Linked DNA regions of Neodiprion lecontei. The protein of the gene in region 2 interacts with the protein of the main gene of each other region in a pairwise test. Links are inferred from orthologs where the notes say so. Each region holds a gene or a part of one and is shown on either strand. Other genes may lie near its edges.

Region 1 (4,296 bases), on a different chromosome or scaffold from region 2:
TTCTTCGAAATTCATCCAGAAGCGTCTCACGCAACCGACACAACCAAATGGTTCACGATCACAAGTTTGGCGGCGCTAACATTCACGAATACGTAATACTGCAGAATTTATCCGCTAACTCAACATTTCAACATTCTTCGACCGCGATCCAAATTATTTAATTTTCTCCCAATGAATCAGCGATCACTTCGACCTCTCTGGATAATAAAAACACAATTCGCAGTGCTTTCTGACACATGCATCAAACTCCTAATACCTAGAACAGCACTTATATTCTTAGCTAGAGCGGTCGACTTGAACTACAACATAATCATATGTTTAACCAAGCCAACGCTCTTTAGCATTCTACTGGCTATTTCTACTCGACTCTAGCTGTGATCAGAAGTAATATCCTCGCACAGAAGTGCTTGCGTAGAACTGCTCATCGCGTTATTTGTCGTAGACTTTCGGTATGCGATCGGCATATTGATTATAAAGCACTGTGCTGACCGTACTGCGTCTTAATCTTCATTGAGAGTTATTAATAATTTTAAAAAATTTAACACTAGGCTTGTATTTTAACGAAGTTAAAGACAGTAAGGTGAATAGTATGGCAAAGGGCGAGAATGGGTTCCAAGGGAACCTCAAAATCGATCGTTCCAGAAAATATAGGTATTTAGATATTTCTGTAACAATCATTTGAAAAAAATGTATTCTAACAGCCACCGGCATATTACGTCCAACGGAATAAGTATCGGAAGAAATTTTTCATTCATCGATTAACAAATCATATACAGATGATTATTCGAATAGATTCTTGACTACAAAGTTCTGTTCAAAGCAATTCAGTGAATAAAATTGAGTAGCTGAAACAGACAAAAAAATTATACTCAGCTTACAATTAGATGGGATAAAATATATAATTTGCAAAAAAGGGGAAAAAATTGATTAGCTGACATAGATAAACGGATGATTAGCAATAACGACGGAAGTGCCTAAACTGACGAAACCTATGTCGAGCCAACCATATCATTCGCGGCAACAGTCTTTCACTACATTATTTCTACTGATAGATACGCTGCGTAATTAGACTAATCCTAGAGAAATACCCTTACCTAAATACGTGCAAACTTACTAACTGACATCATTTACGATAAAATCGATTATTTCTTAATTAAAGTACATACCTTCTAGTTTCATTCGCTATAATGGTTGGTCTAGTTTTCACTTTCTTCTCAGAGATCAATTAATCGGGTTACTTCATTTGGAGCATCGTTAAACGCGATCAATAGTGATACAATGTAGGCTGTCCCTGTAATCAGGTAAGAGAAAACAATATCTGATTACTATTTCACCTTCCAAATTCATACACAGACCATTGGAAATTGACGATTGTTTTTACAAAATATAATCAAGGACTGGATAGCAATAAATTTCAACTCAGAGATAAATTTTTAAATTGAAAGTAAAAGTGGTGTGATAGTATAATCGGGAATGATTTTAAATTCATACCTGTTTTTTATTCTACCACAACATTGTGACCTGTTCAGCTTCTGCATTTTGTTTTCCAACATTTATTGCCAGAGATCAATTGAGATGATCACTAACCTCGATCAATATTGCTGTAGTTTAATTCTGTAATCAGATAAAAGACCACAGCATTTTATTAAAATTTCCTGTCCAAAATCCATCTACTCAGTATTCAAACAGGTGCAATTGGAGTGTTTTATGTATTGTGTCAAGGCTTGTACAATGTTATCGATTACATAATCGAGTAAAAAATGATCGAAATGTTTTATATCTGTTCCTTTTTCAATAAATTCATCAGTTCCTCTCGAAAGTAAGTTTTTACTCGTCAGAAAATCAGGCGAGCTGCGCACTAAACAGTCAAATTTTTACTGAATTACCGTTGCACGCGACGTCATGGCGGTCAAGGCGTAAACCCTGAAATCTCTGTAAGATAACGTTATCGGCAACGCGTTTTTGCATCGGTACATAGACAAACCGGTATTACAGAAAGCTATTATATCAGTCTCCTCGGCCATAAAATCATCGTGAAGTATAGAAAACAATCATTAGCCGCGTGGAGCTTGCCCGTAGTAAATGTATCCGATGCGTTTACGAACACTGGCTATCTTACTACTATGACGTCATCGTAACCTAAACCATTCTGAAAATATCGACTGGTAAGACTGCCCGTTGCCTTGGAAATATACCGTAAAGACGGAAGAGTTAACACTGACGTTTAACAGAAAAATTGCGGTTTGAAATTTAATCTGTAAAGATGGTACGTCAATATAATTCAATGAGTAAATAAATGATGCATCTATAATAACTTCTTTCTCTACAGGCACAAGAAGTCGAGGAAACCATGAAGCGTATTCAATCCCACAAGGGAGTGGTTGGAACGATTGTAGTCAACTCTGAAGGTTAACCATTTCACTGTCTTGTGTATTTTAATTTATTACTGAAAAAACAAAACAAATTCGGTTACTTCTAAAATCAACTAAAATTATATTAAACGAGATAATGATTGTAGGAATTCCAATAAAATCGACGTTAGACAACACGACAACAATTCAATATGCAGGGCTGATTAGTCAGCTATCCGACAAAGCTCGTTCAGTGGTACGGGATCTGGATCCCACTAATGATCTCACTTTCTTGCGAATCCGAAGCAAGAAGCATGAGGTGATGGTCGCCCCGGATAAAGAATTTATACTTATAGTTGTGCAAAATCCTGTCGATTGACAGAATAAATAATTTTTGCATTCTTTTTGCGCCTTGCATGCAATTTTGTAATACATAATTTATATGAGCAACACTGCTCTAATTAGATACTAAAAGTTAATTTAACTGAGCACGCTGCTAAAAATTTAATACCGTTCTTCTCGTCATCTCACATTCTCTACTGCTCTTGTCAAACTGTTGGCACAATTTTAAATAATTTATATACATTAATTGTCCATTATCTATTGTTTATAATTTATTTCAATGTAAAAAAATGTTGGTGAATTTAAAATTGTTGAGTGTATGTCGACGATATTTGATATAAATAAAGTTTATTATAAATACATTTGTTGTTATTTGCGTAATGACTTTGAGTATGTATCAAAACGACATGCACTTACATTAACGATATATTTACAATTCACTAGATTCTTTACAACTGGGTAGAAAGTAAAGTTTCGTCAAAATTGACAAATACTTGAGCTTTGAAATGCGATGGAGATACAAATTATAACTGTTTCAACCTTTAAAGTATTCATTCACATTACGATATTGTTCAAAATGACCTACTATGGCATTTTTTAATATAAGCTGGACTAGATTCTATGTAAATCATTAGTAAAATATCACTCAAGAAAAATAAATCAGATCAACAAAAAAAAATTATTCAAACACTGAAATGCAGCTGGGTATGATTTTTACCCATATCAATGATTGTACGAATAAGGCATACTTCACAATATTATTAAGAGTTAGCAGGAACTTGATATTCCAACTATTTATACCATTATTGTAATCACCTCACACAAGAATATTTGTATAATATAAATATATACATGTGTACTGAAGGAGCACGTAAGTCAGCCTTCTACTTAATCTATTAATATTCCACCATCCCATCTTTGTGCCACTTTTTGCAAAAGGATATAATTTTATAACTAGAGCTTACTAGAAGAAGTCTTAGGTTTGCATGTTTTTATGGGCTTCAAAGATAAAATTCTTAAAAAATAATTCTTAAATAATGTATGTGTAATAGCAGAAAGAATCTAATTAGAGCCACCCTATATATTTATATCAGAACATATGTCACGTTGTAGATTCAAATACCGTAAATTCGATTTACTGTAAAGTGAGAGCGCTTCAATTTTTGAAGTTAATTTTCTAGGTGTTCACGACCTTTTGAAAACTAAATTCTTCTTCAATCCAATTATCATCCAATCAAGTTATGTAATATCAATCATTTGGATACATTGTTCGATTGTGAAATTAAACTTCATTGGAGTACAAGAAGAAGATTGATGGCAACTAGGTATACTTGTTTCACCATATCTTTCTGCAACCAAATTTCGAAATGATTTGATGGATGAGTTGCGATGGTACTAAAACTAAATCGCATTATAATCCATGCGTTTGCTGGGACATGTATTACTGGCGATACATGCCCTGTCTAATAGTAAATAATATACAATCTAAAATACGCTGCAGCAAACGTATTAAATAATACAATAAGGTAACAAGAGATTCTTTAATAATACTACTGCTGCTGTAGCGGGCAATAGCGGCGATGATCTGTTTTCCTTGTTAGAC
Region 2 (5,884 bases):
CCTTTTTGAAAGTTTTTCCAGTCTCTTCCGTCAACAGCTTATCTCCGTACTCGCATATCTCTCTAACAGATGCGCCAACGACACATTTTTCCAAGACCTGCTTCAGGACTCCTGCAGGATGAACAATGTAAATCAAATTATACAGCGATATGTTATATATTGCTAAATTTTATCATGCAATTAGCCGTCTCAACTTGGAAAACGAACATGTTCTATGTATAAGTGAAATTCATACTGCTATTCAAATAGGAATTTATTGGAACCACACATGCAGTGAATATGTTTAGTATCATAAAATTTTATTCAACGTAGTGAACACGCAGCCAAAACATCTTTCATTTCACTGCAAGTTAGATAAAAATCTCTCAAGTTCAAACGAATTACCCAAGCTGCTTGTAAGTAGTTCTGAGGGATTAAATTTCGGTACATGTGATGCCGAACATTTGAGAAATTTGATCCAGATGAAGATGGGTAAACTATACTTTTGGTAAAATTAAAAAATCTGATCAATGCGGCTTGTATGAAGGCAACTGGTACATGCGGTAAACAAAGTATTTATTTTTTTTAAGAATACCGAAATAGATTTCTTTGCAATAAACGTATATAAAACTCTATTTTAGTACGCAAAAAAGAGTAAAATTAGACTGTTGTCAATACGAAGTGAAGCCAGGCTTGGTGCATGATTTAGTTTGTATGGATAAAGCAAAGATGTGAAATTATCATCCGGTTTACGTGTTAATCGAACCATCGATTTGGGGTACGAAAAAATAGCTGTGACATATCTAACTAATTAACTATTAATTGCGAAACGACGTGAAAAAGTTCATTAGGCACGACGCCAACCCACATGGCCAGGAGGCCCGGCATTGGCGCGCCACATTCCATATGGCCATCGGTAATTTTATTCGAAACTCAAGAGATTCTCGTTGTTACGGTGGATATTTTATGTTCATTAAAATCCTCATTTTATTCTGCTGTATTTTCTTACGGTTTACTATATCGCCGGCCATCTTATACTTGGTGACAACCAAGTCCTCGGCGATTGTCTTCTCAGCCTCCTCTTTGTCCGCCATGTCTTCTGCACACTGACCGGTCACGTGACACAATTGCTCTTGCTTTTCATCCAAGAATAGATGGCGCTCTGGACCAAAGACGCTCCCGGCGGAACCGGAAACATGGCAACGGAAAATCCCTGACCCGGGAGTTGTGGGGGGAATTTAAAATTGTTTCGATCTAATTCCACGCAGCTGCTGAATATAATCAATGATTTAACAAAGAACCTCCAAAGTATATTTTTCAGGTGGTCTTCTTCGATAGATCTTAAGATTCGAAGTTTTAATGACCTATGTAATGTTTTTCACCTTACTGCGCAATCATCTGTGATTTCAACAACTTTGTCAACTTGGTCTTGTAAAACCTTTCACAACTTCATCGGTAGATCACTAGGGTAAATAAGATCGCTTGTACGACACAGTAGGGTATACGTGAAATAATTCAGGGAGTTGGTTCAGAGTTTGACATCTCCTTTATTTACACATGGAACTATGCATTGCCACTAATACGACAATAAAATAAATATGTTAATTATTTAAAACAAGCATTCAATTCTTAAGCCTGAGCTGGTTTCTCGGGGGTATTGACAGAATCTATCGCACTAAGAATAGCGCCTTTGATTCCACTCGCCTCGATTGCATTAGATGTGTGTTCAGGTAAATTCGATATGAACTTAAATGTTGTAATCACGCCCTTGTTCCATGAGGATTTAACTAAGCACGTAATGTCTGTGACACTAGGCAGTTCGGGAAGCTAGAATAAAATACAGCGCCGATCAATTAATTGAAATTTCATATTCTAACACATAAAACCATAACAATACTCGAAGCCTAAGGTCTACCTCTGTTGCTACTTCCTTGGGAATATTTCTTTTCACGTATGGTGCTATGTTGTTGTACATTCTACCATACAGTTTTACAGTTTCCTCTGGATCGGACCAAAGACCTTCTCGAATTGTGTAATAAGTAAAGCCACCGGCTACGCTGGCCTTCACAGCAAATCTGTAATGTAAACTGAGATGTGTTATTCCATCCTTAATCCAAATTCTGTCTAGTCAAATACCGTGCCAGCAGAGCTTCGTTAAACTTCAATGCATATACTAACCGCAAGACGCCCATTATTTTATCTAACTTATTTTTTTTTTTTTTTTATAATTTACTTTGCAAAGAGCGATTAACGACGGATATCACCCACGCAAGAAGTCGATTATTCGGATTAAATTACATAAATGTCGTTTGTAGGTTAGGTTAAGTTACGTCTGCGATCGGTATCTAAATTCTTGATACTCCGTGGTAAAAGATGACAGCCGGAAGTGAAGAAAAGAAAACACCTTCAAATACTATTTATATATTTAATATTATTATTGTAAAGAAATACCGTCAGATGCAAAAATATTAGTTTTGAATACAAAAAATATATGCGTGTGTTTTCATCCATAATTCATTAGTTGTAATGTCTCCTTTGATTCACAGCGTGGAAAGCGAGTCCGGAGTATAGCGTGTGAAGGAAAATGGATCCGTACGTCAGACGTAACGGGTAAAGAGTCGGTTGACGTTTATAGCGAACTTCTTAGTGATTTTTTTTCTTCTAAAGTATATAATATTCGGTGCTAAGTGAATTTGATTCTGATATTTTAAGGTAAATGATGATTTACTTCGTGATTATTCGGAGCTTCGTACTCATCTTTGAAACTTTCGAACCCGTACGGTTTGCTAGATCGAGCTGCTATCCGCCTGACACACGCTGAGAATTCTAATGATTTTTCGTTTATGGACAAGAATGGAATAGAGTTTACTGACAATACTTTTCTCGTGCTGTTATTAAATATTCCTTCACTTACGTCATTCGTGAATCATAACGTGGCATTCAAGGTGGATACACATAGGTATACATATGCACATATCTATAGGATATGTATGATAAGAAATCAATAACTCTTTACATTTGTGTATCTACCCTATCACGAAAGCGTTGCATTGAATTTCTAAAAGGCGGTCGGCGGTTACCGGTACATTACGAAAATACGATTTTTCTGTATTCAATCCGGAAATGTACGAACATATTGGTCTTAACCCCCTTTCCCATCTAAAATAACGTTTCCTCAAGCTTTTGACAGTTGTCAATGCTATTAGGTACCTGAATCCATAAGAATTTTACTTAGATTTAAACAAAAATTTTCAAACTTTTATGAAATCTGTTTCATGGTTCGTGTTCACCTATCCATACGATACAAAAGGTTCCCACTGAAATTCAGTCACATCTGTTCGTTCAGTGTACAGGGTTAATAAACAAATATCTTATCTTGTTGCAAATATTTACCTACGAATCTTTTTTCATCACAACGAAGAGGGGCACTGCTGCAATGATGTCGGATCGAAAAGCAGAATTAGAACGGAAGAAGGCCAAGCTGCAGGCGATTCGAGAGGAAAAGGAAAGGCGGCGTAAAGAAAAGGAACAAAAAGATGTAAGAAGAAAAATCGAGCGGCAGAACATCACTGATTAGGGATTTCTTCTCACCAGAATATTGAATTCATTCTTCTCTTATTCCAAAATGTGTAATATTTTTTACAAGGTTGAGGAAGCGACTGTACGAGCTGCAGGTGCCGATAAAGACCATCGGAAAGACTTAGATGCCATGTTATCATCCCTTGGGGTAGCACCGGTATCAGGTAAAAAATGCAGACTTTGAAACGTATTTCACGCTGTCGAAAAATTCCTCGTCATACATTATTAGTGGATTTATATTTAAATATTGCAATATAAACTGAATTATAACCATTTTATGTTTGTCAGTTTCTGTGACTAATGAAAGACTATGTTTTGTTCATATTTCAGGTAAATTAGAAAAACCTATCCTCTGCTAAGATCAATGTTTAGAAAATTTCTTTAGTCAGGCTTCAGTAATATTATCTAAAAAATGCCACATTTTATTATACATTTATATGCTTACAGATGTATTATCCAGTCTCTCTAGTATGAACTCTTTGACGCCAGAGCAAAGTGCCAATGCTACACCAGACGCAAGTTTACAACCTTCCAGTATCAATTCTGTTCAAAGGTATTTTTGAAGATTGTGGGCTTCATATTTTATTTGCATAGTGTTTAGTTATTGGAGGTGAATATTTGACTTCGCAATAAAAGGGGTAGAGAGTAAATTTTTCATAACTGTTCAATGTAAAAATGGTATTCCAATTATAATATGTAGATGATAGCTCCTATTGATGGTATTGTTGAAATAAGGTTGAAAATGTATTCGGGGAAGAGAATTTCATTTGATTTTTTGATATTTGATCTGTTCAATAAGACAATTATTCAAATCTTTTATCCGTCTGTAGTATTCCAGGAAGGCGGAAGGCTCCACGTGATTTAACAGCTGTTTCTGTGGCGCATACCGATATACCACCCAAGGAACCTGTGGTATATAGTAAGCAGACGCAAACTGCTCAGACGACGCACACTTCACACGACGGTGAGTCTTGTTTTTAATTATGTTTTAGCATTTAAAATAGGTTTAACATCTTCAATATAATCAGAAAAGACAGGTATTTGGTGTTATCGCACCAATGTCAACCGTACCTTTTCTGTTTTGAGTTCAATATAGCACACAATTGATTTTGGAATGTTAATGCCGTGTACCATTTTGAAATTAAGTTAGTTACAAGGTGAAAGTAATATTCTGTATTTGAAATTTAACCAATAAATTAATATTTTCATTAGTCAGGATTCAGGTTTGAAGTTGTTATGGATTCAATTGCAACAATTGTTGTCCACAACAAAAGAAATTCAAGTTTCGGGATAAACTAACTTGAATCCTGATTATAAAATATTGTTAAGAAAGTTAGCAGCATTCAACTTTGGGATTGAATGACGAATATGGAATGAACTTTGTTTATTTTTTCTAAACAGTTCTTATATCACCTTTTCAATTATATCTAACAGTTTCATGAGCTTTGTGATAATCAGCTCGCGTGTTAACGTAATTTATTAATTTTTTTTTAAATTTTCGTTTTTAATCTCTGTGAAACTGAACCGTACTCTGTTATTAATGACAGTCTATACATCTTATGTGATTTAATTTAGTTAATTTTTATGTTAACTCTTAGGATTTTCTACGATTCTTACTTTTAATGCAAATAATTTTTCGTTATAATTGCATAATGTAACATGCGAGGAAACCTACATATTCACACGACACGTCGGTATGAAGAATTTTGTTTCCCTACCTGTGATATTTGTTTAACACTCCGTCTTTGGTTATAATTTAAATTGAGTCCAGCAATGTTCGCGGAGAGGCATTACATAGTAAAGAAATATCATTCTGATCGGATTACTATTTCATGTCAGAGCTTTAAGATTTTCTAAACAATTGCAGAATTCAGTCACTTCCACTTTATCATGTAACAAAGTAGCCATTTCCATGCATTGTTCAATTGAGCACAATTGAAAATCATTCAAAATTTAATTAGAATTATATTTTCAATTCTGTAACTCGAACTTTAAAAAATATTTCAACAGCTTTAATTCATATTTTCATACTCGTATCAGATTGAATTACAAAACAAATAATGTTATAATGAATTATTTCAAGGATATGTATTACGTATAAATCAATGTCAACAAATTGATAGAGCGTATGAAATTCGATTCAAGATGCACACTTTAGAAGTATAAATACCTCTCCACCACACAAACGTACAAAGACAAGTAGTACATAAAGCAAACGTATGTACAGAGCGGCGAATTCCGGACGCAAAGCTCAAAGGCTTATACTGCCTTGGGATTTTTAAAGAATGTGAAAAATCAAACTCCCAATGAAATAGTTCTTACAAGT

What was found. The genes of interacting proteins can lie anywhere in the genome.
Region 1: the proteins of cytoplasmic dynein 1 intermediate chain (region 2) and dynein light chain roadblock-type 2 interact in a two-hybrid assay, tested with the Caenorhabditis elegans proteins (3 studies listed by BioGRID). The link is inferred for Neodiprion lecontei from reciprocal best matches to the Caenorhabditis elegans genes dyci-1 and dyrb-1.

What each region holds. Positions count from the first base shown.
Region 1 is NC_060262.1:42,171,609-42,175,904, forward strand, and holds dynein light chain roadblock-type 2, read left to right. Parts: upstream 1-2,108; 5' UTR 2,109-2,263; coding exon 2,264-2,266; intron 2,267-2,329; coding exon 2,330-2,408; intron 2,409-2,518; coding exon 2,519-2,730; 3' UTR 2,731-3,053; downstream 3,054-4,296.
Region 2 is NC_060260.1:9,421,527-9,427,410, reverse strand, and holds the start of cytoplasmic dynein 1 intermediate chain, read left to right. Parts: upstream 1-2,534; 5' UTR 2,535-2,691; intron 2,692-2,707; coding exon of another isoform or gene 2,708-2,736; exon of another isoform or gene 2,737-2,938; intron 2,939-3,026; exon of another isoform or gene 3,027-3,104; intron 3,105-3,166; exon of another isoform or gene 3,167-3,185; intron 3,186-3,400; 5' UTR 3,401-3,415; coding exon 3,416-3,517; intron 3,518-3,625; coding exon 3,626-3,722; intron 3,723-4,005; coding exon 4,006-4,111; intron 4,112-4,388; coding exon 4,389-4,522; intron 4,523-5,884. Other genes in the region: proliferation-associated protein 2G4, read right to left, coding at 1-111, 989-1,073; MICOS complex subunit MIC13 homolog QIL1, read right to left, coding at 1,609-1,806, 1,895-2,054, 2,116-2,171.